Linked DNA regions of Lytechinus pictus. The protein of the gene in region 2 purifies or fractionates together with the protein of the main gene of each other region. This does not show direct contact. Links are inferred from orthologs where the notes say so. Each region holds a gene or a part of one and is shown on either strand. Other genes may lie near its edges.

Region 1 (8,685 bases), on a different chromosome or scaffold from region 2:
AACTGAACTTTTGGTCTGAAAAAGGGGGTCATCAAAGTGGCACGTCCCCATACCACCAATAAATGTGAGTGCCCCCCCCCCCTCCCGGAACCCATTCCACCATTGCCTGGCTCTTCATGTCACGCATAACTGATAAAAGAACATGGAAGTGTATACAAGAATCAAGTGATTCCTTACACTGAAACTAAAGGTTAACCCCATTTTGGAATGCAGCAGTAACAAGTTCGCTGGGAACTGTTTTTTTATTCTCTTAACGAAAACATGAGCCAAGAGCAAATGTAACCCATCCCACCATTGCCTGGCTCTTCATGTCACCTACATGTATACTGATAAAGGAACATGGAAGTGTATACAAGAATCAAGTGATTCCTTTAATATGAAACTAAAGGTTAGCCCCATTTTGCTGGTATAAGAAAGAGACCTACTTTTGAAGGGAGAGAATAAGTAAAGAAATTTACCACTCCATGGCTATTGCACATGAAGATGCAGTGGCAGATCTGAGCAGAAGCACAAGGGATGCATGCCCTCTAACGAAAAACATCCATCAATTGAACACCATACAGCAAAATCTAAACAAAGTTGTAATCTACGCCCTTTCTAATTTCAAATTTGTTTTTTGCATCTTTTATTTTGAAATCCTGGATCCACAGATGATGGAGATGTGTATGCATGTATGATGAAGGTCTCAGCTCAGTAAGAAGTGAAAGTGCTTTCTGTCTATGAGGTATAAAATATTGCAATGTGTGTACATGTACCATTTATAAATGTAATGAATGGTACAAAGTAATCTAGGTAGGGTAATCCACTACCCAAGAGTAAGTACTGGTAAAAATACAAAGATCACTTGACATCATGTAGTGCCTACAATATGTACATACAATCCTTCACAAAGCATTTGGATGTGGCAATGTTTGTAAACATCCATCACCTGCTGGCATTTTATAAAGTCTTCTACAGTGTAAATTACATGCCAATCAACACCAGCACCATTGCCTAAAGAGATTACAAACACCACACATGATCCTTACCCTCTAGGAGATATCCCAACATTTACAGCAAAATATTATATTCCAAATGAGAGATGGATAATCCCTGCTACATATTATGAAGACAAGAAATACATAAGCCTACATACAGTGTGAGCAATGTTTGGTGGCTGTGAAACGCAATGAGATGGATTTGAAAGAAATGTACCGAGATGACTTGGTTACCGCACGCACACGCAGCATCTGGTGGTGACCTCAGACCGGAGTATTAGTCATAACACAGAGAAAGCTCAGTGCAGAGGGGAGTGGAGTGGAGCAAGTGTGGGGTCTCACATGTGATAAGGCCTTTGCCCATATATGAGCATGCTCCCTGCCCCGCTGACTGCCTCTCACCATCACGGCAACGAGCATCCTTGTCAGCATCACTTGGCTGCATCCAATGGTCCCTCGTGTGTAAAAGCAACACATCTGCTCTCCTGTTCATGTCTACAGTATATGTGTCATACATGTAGGTGTGAGGGTAAAACTAAGGTTTCCCAGAAGAGTGTTGGGAAGAAGGGGTGGGGCAGGTGGGAAGGGCAGGGTGTGGATTTTTAGAAAGAGAGGGGTGGAAGGCAGGGAACCAATCAAAAAGAAGGGAAGAGGAGAGAAACAATGGAAGAAAGGAGGATGCAATAAGGGGGAACAGATGAGAATGGCAGAATGTCAATATTATTAGAAGGGAAGATAAATGACAGGAAGGAAGAGAGAGAGAGAATGGAAGAGAGAGCAGTGGTGAGTGACACAAACAGACAGAGGAGATGGGTGAAAATGAGAAAGGGGAGAAGATGGATTTTTTATCAATAGAGAATGCAGAAAGGAGGTGCAACGAGAGAAGAGGAGAAGGATGGGGCAATGGAGATGTCATTGACGAGAGAAATGTGCCGTGGAATATTCATCAGCATCAAGAGGAAACACATACTGTCCAAACATGAGTAAAGGTGAAGGACCTATACCATAAATTCATGGTGGCATCCTTAGTCGAGAGGAAATGGTAGACCAGGATACATTACAATATCTAAAATCAAACAATATTTCAACAAAAGGAAGTCATCATTTTCGTTGCAGGAAAGTGAAGGAGCAATACTTGTTAAAGTGAACACAGATTCAATAAGATTTTGAAGACGGACTACAAAAAATATCACATTCACATGGTTAGGGCTATATATTTTCATTTTCCACCATGCAATTCATCTACTATCCAAAACTGTTGGTGTCTATCGCAGGTACATGTAGGTCTAGACACTGGAATAAAAATCTGATCTTGTGTATGTTATGGTTCCATGACATTTGCTCCGACGACAATTGTTTTGATGGAAAATCTGCACGTTTAGCCAAACATAAAACCTACATGTAGCCTCCGAAACTATATAAATTCCAATCCTTTTCTTAACATTACTTTTAACCAAAAACTCTATAACATTTACAATCTTAACTCTAATCCCATGCCCTCTGAAATATTTAGAGTGTAGCAACTGCCACCGTACCTGTCTAGCTACATGTACATGTAGTTATACTGGATGAAATGTGTGTCGGTACAAAGCACTGCCAAGTATTAAAAGTACAACACTAAACCTTATACCCTCAAAACCAATTGAGATGACGGAATGCAGAAGAGGGAGGAAAGAATTAATAATGTAATGATTGAGGAGCGGCAATCAGAGAAGTTCTTAGCATTCTACAATGTACATCACATCTTGATAACACTGCAAAGTACGTTCACAAAATTGAAATAAATAGATTTATATTGCTAGAAATAGCGGGATGATATCGGGGCTGATGGAGATCAAAACTGAACATACCATTCTGTCTACAGGCCCTCCTCACATACTGACAGTCACATTTTCTGACAACACAAATGATACTCCCACACACTCACTGTCATGATCACTACAAACTGTGCCATGCATCATCTCCATCTGAGCTGAATATATTGTTTCCAGAATGTCATCTCATTAAAACAGGGATGAACTCCATCAATGATAGAACCTCTGTTTGCTCTCTCTATGGTAGAATCAGGGCCCCTATGGGCTGGTTTTTACACTTTTATCAATAATACTAATAAATGCAATCAATCATAGAAGTCAGCCCCACGACAAATTACATGTAAGCTATTAAAGGCCTAGTTTGGCTATAAACATGAAAGTATCCTAGGGATAAGAACCTTTTCTTTATAAAGTTATGTGTAACTTGAATATTAACTGCAACAGGGCAAAAAACATAATTCTTTTTTTCATATCATTTTTAACCGAATCATGTTGACATAAAGAATGTTAATTTGAGTTTATAATACAACTCACAAGCAATATACTGTATGTTAAAGCCAATTCGGCAGTGCCACAATTCAACACTAACTTGCAAGTTGGTCAAACAATCACTCAATCGCAATCGCTCGTTACATCTTACTCTTAGAACTAAGAAAACTCACTGGCTTTCAATACTTGAGTTTGATAAATTCGATCGCAACTCTTTGATAGAAAGGGCCCAGACCTTTTTTTTTTACTTTATAAGATAGATAGTAGAATTTAGAACCATTTGGAGGCAACAGGAGCGGGGGCAAAACCCCTTGTCCTGCCATCAACCTCTCCCAAAATATCAGCAACATTCCTTCATGTATATCACCTGATATTTGAAAGTGCAGAAAGGGATGTGAAATCCTTTTTAATCTTTTTCACTCATTGGCCCCCATCAATCACTGACATACTGTAAATAATGGCACCATTTCACCTCCGATGACACTTCTTTCCATGCAGGCTAGTGCAGAGTATGGAGGTACATACATGAACATGTAATATTACTTTTTGATATCCCAAATGTATATTCACAGCACTGTGCAATACAGTGTTTCTTGTAATCCAACAACCTGGGTTTGAAACCAACAAACCAAATCAATGCGCTACATGTTTGTAAAACCCCCTTGGATAATAGAATACCCAGTAAAATTATGTTCAAAAGAAATCAATCATCACTACCAAGTACATATGTAGGCCTAGATGTATAGTGGAGAAGAACACTGGAACAAAAGGATAAACAATTTGCTCATCAAAATTTTACCTTCTTCTATAGGCTAATGAAGGTATAGGCCTATACATTTTGCGCTATCTATTAGTGCATACCGGTACATGGTATCTCTAAAGAGCAAAATTTCCATTTCTTTTTCTTTATAATCACCATCCAGTATGAATTTGATGCACTGATTGATATTCCAAATAACACTCATGGGATTTGAAGCCGGTACTATCAAAAGATGATAATGAGGAGCCTGAACATGCATTACAAATTTGCAGTCATAGTCTACTCAAATAAATGTGGCCAATATGTGAATCTCTTCCAATACATGACTTTTCTGCATGACTGCTCATTAATGCACCAGTTACAAGTATATTGCCTGCTACTGTAGGTGACATTTCATGGAGATAAAAACATAAATGAACATGACATAGCCTACATGTACATGTATGTGAGTCATCACACACACCACTGAATATCAGGGGCGGTATTCTGAGGTCGTTTTATCTTTAAAATATTTTATTTTATCTCTTAAAATGAAATTGGTATTCTGAGATGACATTTTATCTCTCAGATAAAATTTAACATTTTATCATGCTTATAAATTTTATCTTGCGTATCTATGATGATACGCAACAGAGCAGTGGCTGCGTAGACATACCCATCGCGTATCTGGCCATTGCAAAGCGGGTAATGTGCTTGCGCCCAAGTTACTTTGAAGAAAAAATAAAATAACCTTAAAAGAGGGTAGGGGCTATTTTATCTCCGCGACGTTGATTTCGTCAATATTTCTAGGTGAATTAACTCCAACTGTTGGCATGAAATTTAAGAGAAATTATAGATTCATTGAGAACAACACCTTAAAGTTATTCCTGTACAATCAGGAAGCATTTCTTTTCTTGACTAATATTGTCTTTGAAATGATGCTTGAAAAGATGCGATATAGACATCGATAAAGAGATGAGAGTAATGCAATTTTAGTTAAAAAGAAATCTCTGTAAAGACGCGCAAGCGTATAGTGCAAGCGTATTGAAGTCAATAAATTGACGCAATCTCACTCCTTTGCCACACCTCCTAGCGGAATGGATTTCCATTGGTTGAGTGATATGAGAGAGCTATAAAAGCGCGTTTCTAATTGGATATTGATTAAAAAATAGGTGTGTCTTACAGAGATAAAATGAAGATAAAATTGTTCTCAGAATACCAATTCGGAGAGATTTTAAGGGTATTTTATCTCACTGATTTTAACGGAGGTAAAATATTTTATTTTAACTGAGATAAAATGGATCTCAGAATACCACCCCAGGGCTTTTCAGGCCTACATACAAATACATATGTACATGGACCCTCCTGACCGCTCCCATCTGCCCCACCCCAAAGCAAACTTTTTATCTTCTAAAAAAAGGATGTGCATGAGAGTGTAGACCTGGGGAAACTGTTTCCCGGCGAAGTTCGCCAGTGAAACAGCCAGTATGAAAGGTAACCGGAGAACTTCTCCTCTTTGATGACGTCAGAGGTCATTTTTTTCTCCCCGAAATCCCCTGAACTGAGATTCCGCGCGCTAGCTACATGTAGCTATTATTTCCGTGGATAAATGTAGAAGGCCAAGCTTTATGAGCGATTCAATAATTCCATAGAGTTAAATACCCTCGAACATACAGTTTGTTTTTTCACTAACGATATTCATTATAAAAGCATTATTTTACATGCTGGAAATGCGCTTAAAATATCAAAATACTTTGATTTTTTTTTGGTTTTGCTTCTAATATTTCTAGAATTGGTTGTAATTTATATTTTAACACCTTTTTGTAATCGGTAAGAAGCAATGTTTACAATTCATTTTATTTTTGTTCGTTCTAATTCTGCATGCACCTGCTGAGTGAGCTGATCAGCAGGAGCAGCTGAGAAGTGTTTACCTGCCGTCATCTCCAAAACTTCACTGTAAGAATTAATCAGGTGTCTGCAATTAATAAGAAAAGAGTAAAATAAAAATTCAAATTAAAAAAAGCGCACGCTTTCATTGACACCGGGTCTGCACTTACTTCCGCCCGAGCAAATTACCAATCGCCTTTCGCCGGGGAAGTGCAAAAGGGTACATATTTTTTCTTCGCCGGGGAAGTGAGGAATGCATGCCAGAGAAGTTCGCCGGGGAAAAATGAAGAGACCAGTCTGAAAGGAGTAATAGATTACTTGCACACTGAAGAAATAGGATCCACTGTATAAGAATGTTTTTGATAGACCTCAATTTATTAATTGGTGTCGTTCATTCGCTCTGAAGTCCTGAAGCACCTTTAGCATAAATAAAGATGGAAAGTTCACCACATGTACAGTACATAGGCCTAAATCTTAATATTGAATTATTAATCATTATTTTTTATACTATCTGTATCATTTAGCTTACATGTAGATTTATTTTCATGTCCGCCTAGTGAGGTTGATACTCATGAGGATCCTGCTATTTCTTCCACTCAAATAAGCTATCATTCACTGCTCTGGATAGGCAATAAATAATTTGCAGTCAATGTCAACAATGCCAAGAATGCCACATTTCCTGGAGCATCCAGATTAACCATAAGACCAGACAGACAGAAATAGTCTTTCAAAATGGACATTATCATTCTTCGCATGTGAAATTAATAAATTTGTAACATTTGAAGAGCTTTGCCACCCCCCCGGAAAAAAAATTGATTACCGGTAGCCTTGCAATGTCCCTCTCTTTGGCCCTAAATAGGCCTATACATGTACATGTATTTTTTTGCCTTTTTCATTTCCCCATTTGCGTTGTTAATATAAAATGTGCCCTTGCCCTAAAAATACAGAAATACAAAGTATCTGTAGCCTCGACCTAATTCCCCTTACATGGGACCTACATTGATTGATTGATAGTTTATTTTGCTTTTAAGAGTGTCATCTGCACCAATCAGCCACATTTTACATAAAACCAATTATATTACCTAGCACACAATTATTAACAAGTAAAATCAAAGTACAAAAAATAAAGACAAAATAACAAATGGGTCTGATTTGCTTTTGGTGTAGACTAATATTCAGAGAGAGGGATGCCCAGATGGGGATCAGTCACAACTTCTTCATTCTTTAGATCTTGACCTCATTCATACAGAGGTCCTTGGTGTCATCTAAGGTCAAACACCAAGCTGTTTGGCATTCCACTCTCTAAATAAACATGATATGCTAATGATACCACAAGTCCATCCTTCATTTAGTCTGCTTATTCAGACATTATTATAGTTCACGATACCACAAGGAGTACATGTAGGCATACTATCAAGACCAACATGTATATACCTTTGAAAGTAGTGCTGTTATCAATAACCTCTTTATCGCTAGTCTTGTTGATAAACGCATGTTTTTTGCCACTTAGCAAATAGCGATATCGATAACTTTTCTCTCATTGTCGATAATACCTGATATTATGTAGGGACATACAGTTCAAAATACAAATTTCTGAGACTGACAAAGAAAAATTGAGAAATCTCAAGAACAAGTGGAATGCCTAGTCTAGCAGATCATAAAACGGGTCTTTATACTTGAACAACATTCTGGTGATATTTCAAAAACTTATGCTTAGTTCTATAGATGTTGACTACACCACCAACCTCAGAAAAGCGGCGCCTACATGTACATGTATGTCTCACTTCTGCCAATGTATGCAGGCAAGACAAACATGAAAAGGTTGAAAACATATATGTATTTTAAGGCATACATGTACATGTACATGTAGGCCTAAAAACAGCCTATTTAAATTCAAAGAAGACTTTTATTTAAACAAAAAAAACAAAACAACTGTAATGTTAGATTCATAGACACTGGTTAAGGACTTGGACTTGATTTTTTTTACTCTTCCTACAATGGGATGCAGGACTTACATGTAGGCCTAAAAAGCTGACTGGAGTACCGGGGGGGGGGGTACTTCCATTGACAAATGGATACCATGCATGACCAAAAATACACGTAAAAAGGATCTCTTTTTCAAGATAGGGCTTATTACGTACGTAACGTGTCAAAAACAATAAAATAATGAAAAAAGGGTATATATTTTGCTAGGAAAACTTTGTGTTTACGGTCCAATTTGCGAGGGTATAAAAAGACTATAGGCCTACAACCTGTAGATGTACTTTTTGCCCCAACACTACGTGCTTAGGGTCCAAATCGAGCGAGGTGTGTGGGGTAGTACTCCCCCGCCCAATGAAAGTAAAAGGTATAAGCAGACGTCCATGATCATGTCCGTGACAAACAGTTATTACAGACATTGTTGTACTTGTTAAGGGGCTCAATTCAGGGTTCTTTTCAAGGGTATCATTTTGTTTCCAATACTTGTTAAAGGTAAATGCTAGTTTTGGTAACGATATCAAAATGAGTTCGTACAGAATCCAATGAAATGACCACCAAAGTGTCTGTTTGTATAAATAAAACGCATGTGCCAAAGGATTCTGGAAGAAATTGTGTAATTGCTGAGAAATCAGCAAATAAGCACAGGATTCGGGTAGAGCGTCGGGCCCGACGCTCAAAGCAATAATTATACACTGTCCCACGTGCGCTTATCTGTGTTGGGGAAGTTCAGTCTGAACATTTTTCAGCGTAGATTTCAAGATTTCACAACATTCAGTTTATGTAACTGTACCAGATCTAG
Region 2 (8,944 bases):
TCGCTACCCATTACCCGCGGCTCATACCCCTCTAAACGACATTGCACTGGGCGGCTACGGCCGGCCACTCGATGTGTTGTGAACTGGCAGACTTCTTACATGTTCGGGAGGGGCTACGCGGGCGGGCTCAGACCCGTCACCGTGTATAAACCGCACCCCCGACTTTTGCTTATATCCCGCCGAGAAAAAGGTGCGGTTAATACACCGTTACTTACGGTAATTCAAAAGTTTCCACAAAGAAAAATTGAGAAAGCAAATTTCTTCCTGATGTACATGTATTTCTTTGTTTTTAGAATTCAGATTATCACGCCCCCCCCCCCCCCAGTGCCTTTAGGGTTAAATATTAAAAGAAACTTTCCTTTGAAGAGGTAAAACTTTTTTTTTCAAGGATTTCTTCGGGCAAGTGAAATAGATTTTCGGGCAAGTATATTCCAACTATTTAAAAATTTACTTGCCCGACCGGGCAAGTGCTTCTAAAGTTATATAGTACCCTGCTGTACTTCGTCCAATTTATGAATAAGCCTACAGTGTCAATAATGCTGTATGTATTGCAGTAATTTCACTTTGTTTTTACTGTATCAAAGCAGCTGATGTCTTTTTTTAAGTGAGTATGGGAACCAAATGGCTATGCAGTCTAAAATAAAATGAACAGTGAATTGAATGTTTCTGTCATCATTACAGACACATGTACCTGTGTAAACTACTCTACAAATAGTACAATGTAAAAATGATTGTTTCACATTTATGCTGAAACATGTACCACAAACCTAGTCAACCAATTCCTGCACTTACATTATTTGTGCCATGCTTAAAATGCATCTTTAACATTTAGTATTTCATTCTCCTTTTTTTTTGTTTAAAACATCTGAAATACGAATTTGCCATCTTTAACTACTTTTATCAGGTCTTCACATCAAATTCAGGGATGTATTATGATTTGCCAAGAGAATTATCCTAAAATTAGAAACAATGCAAGGGAGCAAAGCGACCAAGCCACACCAAAAGAGAGAGGGTGGGAGAGTATGTGGAAGGAAGGTGGAGCTTTCTTTAATTTTTTAGTATTTTGTTTAATCCGGTGCATAAAACTATAGAGTACTTTGAGATACTGTGTACCTAAGGAAACTTATTAATGGAATTAAAGGAAGAAATAAACAATGAAAAAAGAAAATTGACAAATTGGCAAAATCAGCCTTGTTTAAAAAGACCAAAAAGACAAAAAAATAAAGGTTATATTATTGTTGTAAACTAAAGGCATCGCTGTGATTCAGCATAAGTGTCACATGTCATTGCATGGGAGTGCCACTGACGTGCATCGCACCACAAGTCATTGTAACCCTACCTGATTTCTGTTTCATAAAACTTGTTATAAAAACAAATTTCAATAACAGTTAAAAGCTATTGAAATCCTTCAATCTGATTGGCTGATAGTGAACTTGTTATAGACATTGTGCGTATGTTATTATATCAATTCTTTATGAAACATGTTCCAGACCTACCAAGAAGCAAGATCTAAATATTTCTTGCGTGATTTGGAAATATGGCGCAGATTCAGCATTTAAATGGGATTTGGGTGTTGATATCGGGACTTTCTTGTGATGAATTACCATTTACTGTGTTTGATAAATGTGTTGCTCTGGCTTGTAAAAATATGATTGCCTGTCAAATCTCGGAAAATGTAGAATTTATGCTGTATTCAACTGAAGAATCAATATTTATTTTTTTCCCAACTTACAAATGCGAAACGATTGTTTCAAGCTGCGAGACCAATCATAGAGAAACTCTGTCGCCAAGCGGCATGTCTTGGTCTAGACCAAAAGCTTCGGTCTCTGACTGTTATGTTGGCTGTTCCGCTGAACTCTGTTGGCTCCACTTTAATACCAAATACAGACACCGAAGTTCTAGCTCAATCTGCACAGGGACTGAACAGCCATATGTTTATGTGTTAAGTTCGCATAAAACAGGGAAGTGAAGTTGAGCGACAGCCGAAGTAAGTCACTGTTTTTTCCCCCTTTTAAGTTTATTTTCCCCGTTTTGGTGCATTTCAGGCCAAAACAGAATAATAATCTTTATTTTGTAATCAGTTCTTTTTATATATTTTAATTAAATAAAGTAAAAAATTGATGAGCCCCTTCGGGGGGATTTTGCATTGTTAAACCCTAATGGTGGCTGCACGATAGCGAGCCGTCTGTGTAAGAGTCAGAGAATTTTTTTATAAAAATGTTATAAAACTCCTCGAAACAGACACGGCTGCCAGCTGTCGAGATCGAGACTTGGTCAGGCTACTAGCTGTGAGACTCGACAAAATCAAGGCTCAAAGTGAGGTGGCGGAGCTCCCCAGGCCGAGTTAGCACATTGCTATTGCCTGGCACATGCAGAGCTCTGCTGCAGCACTGTCTCTGCAGCGATTCGGCCAAACAGTCACAGCAATTGCCAGTGGCAGTGATGCCCAGCGAGCGCGAGTTTGAGCTCACACGTCGATATTACTTTATTATAGTTACCTTGCAATATATTAATGAAGGCGCTAATGCAGTTTTGCACCAGCCGATTACCAGCATACCTCATCACCAATACTTGTTCCCAAATGTCATAACAAGTCTCTCAGTCACATTTCGAGGTCAATATACCCACCTCTTTTCCAAATATCGAGATCGGCTGTATTTCAGCTTTGATCTCGATGTCGTTGTTCAAATCCTCAGACATCACTTCGCGGATCGCTTGGATTCGCCGTGCGCCGTAATGTTGATATGGACTGAAGTTATGCAACCAAAAGATTCGCCTGCAGCATGCTGGCAGTTTGTTCGCCACATGTTCGCATGATTTGGTTGCTAACTTCAGTCCATATCAACATTACGGCGCACGGCGAATCCAAGCGATCCGCGAAGTGATGTCTGACTCTGAGGATTCGAACAATGACATCGAAATCAAAGCTGAAATACAGCCATTCCCGATCACGATATTTGGCAAAGAGGTGGGTATATTTACCTCGAAATGTGACTGAGTCTGAGTCTCTGAGTCTGAGAGAGACTTGTCATGACATTTTGATTTGGGAACAAGTAGGCCTATTGGTGATGAGGTATGCTGGTAATCGGCCGGTGCGAAACTGCATTAGCGCCTTAATGAATGCCTAACACGAAACAATAACAATAATAATTGCCACACTGCTGCCGAAAAGGAAATAATGCTAACGTTATCTACTGACTACCGCATAATAACAAGTCAACACTACATAAAATCGAGCACAAGGGACTAGGCTCACTTTTTTACCCGGTGCTAGAGAAATATATATCGTTTTTACACTGTATTTGCCAGAAAAATACCAATAGGCCAGCAGAAAATTAACTCACATACTCTTTAGAACACTAACATATGATAATTTTCAGTCTTACCTGAATTAAAACTTATAAAATGTTGATTATTACTGGAGTGAGAAGCCGGAAATATCACCTCCTCCCTGACGTTTTTCCTTTTTTCTTTCATTTCACGATCATTGATTCGATTGTATTCCACTACTGTAATTGCGAGGCATGGCATGGGGGCGGGGACCGAAGGGGCCTTGCCCCCCCCCCCCCCCCCAAAGAAAAAGGAAGAGGGGAAAAGAAAAGGAAGGGAGAAAAGATAAAAAGAAGAAACAAATGAACAGGGAGAGGGGAAAGATAAGGAATGGGGAGATTAGAGATGGAGAGGGAGAGCCGGGAGCTAAGAGAGAATATGAGAAGGAAAAGAAAAAGATTAAAGAATTTATCAGTATTAGACAATAATATATATATATATATATATAAAGCCAACTCCTAACTTTAGGGAAAAGAGAGGGTGAGGAAAAGAAAGGGAAGGGAGAGGAGAAAGAAAGGGAAGGGGAAATTGGGAGAGAGAGAAGTTTGGGAGAGCTGGGGGAGGAAATAGAAAAAAGATAGAGAAAAAAGGGAAAAGAAAAAGATCCCACTACTTCTCTCCTCCTGAGAGACTAAGCTGGGCTATAGGCTGGGCAGGAATTAGCCTTACAGTTTTTTTAGAGGTTAGTCCTTTGGAACTTGCAAAGCTAAGGGTGTTATGCTAAATTAATGAGTGAGATAAGGTATGGTTTCTTATAGGCAGATTTCATGAGTTACTAAATTGAAATTTAATGCATGAGTGAGCAAGAATTGTAATTTTAGTGTATGACCTGACCAGTGTGTTCGTGAGAGTCAGAGTCAAATGTGATGGTATATGTTACAAGCAAGAGGGCGAGATATGGTAAGACTAGGTTAAAAGGGCATTCCTCTTCTTTGTCCTTTTACAAATTAAAATTCATTTGTACCCCCCCCCCTTCCACCTCCATTTCCCCGGCTCTATCTCTCTCTCTGTCTCACCATGAACCTACTATATAGCTATATAGTATAGGTCCATGGTCTCACCTGGAGTGTAGCCTATTCAAAACTTAACTGCCAAGTGACCGGTGGCTGATGGTCAGTTTTTTATTTCATTGAATGATTACCAAGAAATTGACTGATTATGATGATTTATGAAATAATATATTGAAAAAATGAATGTTTGATTGATCACATTGCACACTGAATGAGTTTATTTATTGATAAATTGTTGATCAAATGATTGATAGGATTAAGTTGATGCCCCAATTCAGAATTTATCATTAAATCAGCATTCTGCTCTAGCTGGACTTCACTTGTACATGACAATAGCAATCAGTCTCTCTACAGGAGGGGAGGGCGGGAGAGAGGGAGGGGGGCTACATGTTTTGTTGACCCTTATTCCATCAACCTACTTCTCCCACTTAAGTTATATCTCACCCCTTATTCTCCCGACTCCCATGAACACATTGCTGAGATCCACATGATATAGTTGAAATGCTGCCCAAAAAGTGTAATTTGTGTTCACTCATGCATTAAAATTCAATTTAATAATTTATGAAATTTGCTTAAACAACCAAAACTGGTCACGGTTGGTCATTAATTTATCACAACACTCTTAAACTTTGCAAGTTCCAAAGGATTTGCCTCTCAAAAACTGACAGAAATTGGAAGGCTAATTCCGGCCCAGCCTAATTTTCATGCCCCTTGTTTCAGTGGGCAGTGCTCGCTCAAGCATGAAGAGTTTTCCAATTTTTTGGTGTCATTTGAAAGTTGACTTTATTGGCTTCCATGTATGTACGTGTTTTTCCCAAAAGTGATATATTTTTTATTTGGCAGCCATTTCAAAAGTGTATATTTTTGGGGGACGCATTGTATATATATATATATATATACATATATATAGATTATATATATATATATATATATATATATATATATATATATATATATGGGAATCTGTGAGCTTTATTGTATCCCTGAAGAAGACGTGGGATTTACGTCGAAAATTTGGACTTGGAAATAAACTCTGTTGGAACTATATAAATGCATTATCTCTTTGCCTATATTATATATATATATAATAAACAAGCGCTTATTTTTATTTCAGTTTACGTGCTCGCATTAATATAGGCCTATTATGCTCGATATGCATATAGGTTTTAATACATTAACCATTAACATAATTATATATATATATTAATAAATGAAAAGATAAATCTACTTGCGCTTTTCGTTTACATGAAAGCATACTTAAACTTCGATCTTTACGACTACTCCCCCCCCCCCCACAAAAGAGGTGCTCTTCGTGCGGCCGACCTGGTGATATATGGATTAAACTTGTCCAGCACCCCCCCCCCTCCCCTTTGTTATTAGCAAATGCTGAATCAGCCCCTGTATATTTTGCGTATCAGTCCAACTTTACTAGAGTACTATACCAGATTAAGGCATATATGTGCCTCCAGAAATCTGCTCTGATCGGAATTCAGATATTCCCCCCTTACGAAATCCGGGATCCATAAACCTACCCTATTGGCTAAAATTACTTAACCATCTCCTTACAGAAATATAGGCCTCATATATTGGTATCAATACTATAGTTCTGTCAACAATGTTGTATTTTGATATGAAAGACGACCCTTTTCAGTTCTGAGAGCATGCAGAAGATAAATGCAGACTTCGTCATTTTTTTTTTAACTTTTATTTTCATATTATATTTTTTTTTACAGAGTTTGGGATTATCAGTGAAAGAAATAACTGTTGCATATTTCCCACAGGCCGGGATAACGGGGCGGAACAGATGCCGGGACGTAAAAATAAGGTATTTTGTGCGGTTATGGTGATATGCGCCAAAATGAGGGGTCGTGAAACTCGTGACTGTAGATTCCGGGAGAAAATTTCAAATTTAAAGAGTAAAAAAAAATAGATGCTTATGACCTAGGTCCCGTTTGATAACCATGGTATCTTTACCATTTATAATTATGGAAACTATGGTAACAACTAAGTTGTGCTCAGCAGCCATGCAATCACAATCACGGTTTCCATTGTAGTTGCATAATGGCAAATAAGTCATTGTAGTTGTATTTCTTTATGACACATGCCCTTATGATGACTTGGTGTGGTTTTTTTTTTTTTTGTGTCGTTGTTGTTTGTTCTGATCCTGGGAGATGACTCCCCTGATATTTTCCAGAGCCTGACTATAGACCCTCCCTCCCCCCCTCACCGTTGCTGCTTTTGTTTCTTTCTTTCTTTTTCCCACCGTGTTTCTCTCATAAAAATGGAGTTCTCCAATTTTCTCACCCCCTCCCCGTCCCTCTCTCTTTCTTTTAATGGAATCTGAATCCCATCTGTTATTTCCGCGTTTCATTGTTTACCAATTCATATGCGCTGAAAAGTAAGTTGTCATACCCCCCTCTACGATTGAGGTTTTGTAATAATGGGTGAAACAAAAGTCATGTAAATAAAAGATATATTAGGGAAGGTGAACACTGTGCTCTCATAAAAAAAACAATACAAAAAGTGGTGATCTGTTTGTTTGTTTGTTTTTTCCTCTAACTGATTATGCACCTACTTATGGTGAAAAGCGAAATCAAAATTGCAAAATAAAGGGGGAGAATACAGTTTACTTTTCAACAGCTTGGATAGTGTCAGGATTATTATCTCTTTATGTGCCATTCACTGTAATCAGCGAGTGCCATTTTTTTTTCAAAGAGTCTATATTTAATTGTTTTATTTATTAAAAAAAGGGAATCACTTCTGAGACAATAATGTTAAACCTCTTGACCATAAGCTGAACTGCACAATGGAATCACTATCGTAATATAGTTTTCCCGGCCAATTTTGACAGGATATTCTATTAGATTATGCTTCAGCGTTTTTCCCGTGTTTCAAGTATTGTGTTCATTTCTATTTTTTATCATTGGAAAAAGCGAAATTATCATTCAAATTAGCTTTCATTTCATTCGGTTTGACAGTAAAGTAACCGTCATTCAATGTAACAAAGTATGAGTCGAAGAAGGAATTCTGTGTTTAATCACGGTTTCATTTTCACCTATATGCAATCAATTTCACACTTAAAGTGACCTCATTTCCCCCTATATATTTACTTTTCTGTCATTTTTACATCTTTTGTGGTCTTATCTATATCTTCTTACATAATATTTTTGGCCCTGGGAAGCGAGGTTGCTGGGATGCTGTGTATGTATTTACCATAGGCAGCACCCCCTTGGAAATCGATATGACAAGCAAAAAAAGTAAGGTTATTGCCCCCAAACGACGGGGATTTGTTTTGCTTGTCATTTTTTCTTCTTTATTTTTTCTGACGACAACCCCTGAACAAAACCGCCAGCACCCCCATCTTGAAATCGTTCCTAGTGCTCTGAACTTTATTTCTATATTTGAAGAAGCGTGTCTCGTTTTTTTTTTCAACCCTATTTCATTTTTTTAAATACATTTTTTGCATTTATGATGCTTGTCTCTCGTCTTTTTCATTCGTCGATTTCCTGGTCATTGAAACACCTGGCAAATACGTCTGGGATTTATTGGGCCACTGGATGCATTATCAAGCGATGTCGATCAAAGTTTAAAAATATCTTAACTAAATTTACATTTGATTCCAATGAAACATTCAACATACTGCTTGGTGATTTTTCTCCTTTTGTCTAAGCCAACTTATAAGGATTGACTTTGCCTTTATTTTTAACATGTTATATGCACGACTTTATACACACCGGCTTACATCACAACGATCGCAAAGTCAAAATGAACTTTATTCGCTTTATCATAATTGTATTAATAATTATGCAGAGCATTTAACGAAAGGCACATTTTAAAATACAATTTAGATTAAGCTTTTTTTTTTTAATGACACCCCCCCCCCCCAAAAAAAAAAATAGTACCTATATCGGGCAAGTGGGATTACATTGTGCGCAAAGAAGAGATAATCTTTTGGGTCTCCACTCTAACCAATGTAATGTTAGATACACGTTAATACAGTCAAAATGTTGAATAATGTGCAAATCCTGCCTTCTATATAGTATGCTCATGAATTCAATTACCAAAACCAAAAACCCCCAAACCAGGAGGTGGAGGACTTCAGGGAAATACGACTACAAGGCACGACTGGGGTATGTCTGGAGCGTGTTCAGTTTGATATGACGAGAGTTCAGGGGCGCAACAAGAGTCGGCGGTCAGGGGGGAGCCAAAAAATTTCCGGTCTTTCATGGTATGAACAGGCAGTGGTGTAATGAGAGAAAGATTTTGAGGGGGCAAGATATGGCGTATGGGGCCAAAAAAATAATAAGTTGCAAGCGAGCGAAAATATCGAGACCTTTATTACAAAAATCAAATTTTGTGATAGATTTTGACAGAATATTCATACAATGATATCAAATTTCACCCTTTTCTCTGTCTTTTTCTCTTTCTTTTCCTAGTCTGTACGCCACCTCGAACACTTTTTTAATGACCATTGTGACGGTGCCAGTATTAGGGCGAAGCTCTATGCGGCAGTATACATTATGAATAAAAATAAAAAGAGGGGCACTGGCAGCATGGAGGGTGTGGCAAAAGTTGACTGATATAAGTCCTGAGCGAGCGAAGCG

What was found.
Region 1: the proteins of tyrosine-protein kinase CSK-like (region 2) and leupaxin-like purify together in Homo sapiens (affinity purification with mass spectrometry; 4 studies listed by BioGRID and IntAct, with this or other methods). This does not show direct contact. The link is inferred for Lytechinus pictus from reciprocal best matches to the Homo sapiens genes CSK and PXN.

The regions. Positions count from the first base shown.
Region 1 is NC_087246.1:21,755,142-21,763,826, forward strand, and holds the start of leupaxin-like, read right to left. Parts: upstream 4,016-8,685; 5' UTR 1,051-4,015; coding exon 1,029-1,050; intron 1-1,028. UniProt on the Homo sapiens protein: Cytoskeletal protein involved in actin-membrane attachment at sites of cell adhesion to the extracellular matrix (focal adhesion). Recruits other proteins such as TRIM15 to focal adhesion.
Region 2 is NC_087249.1:16,400,083-16,409,026, forward strand, and holds the start of tyrosine-protein kinase CSK-like, read right to left. Parts: upstream 3,478-8,944; 5' UTR 3,387-3,477; intron 1,920-3,386; 5' UTR 1,733-1,919; intron 299-1,732; exon of another isoform or gene 216-298; intron 1-215. UniProt on the Homo sapiens protein: Non-receptor tyrosine-protein kinase that plays an important role in the regulation of cell growth, differentiation, migration and immune response.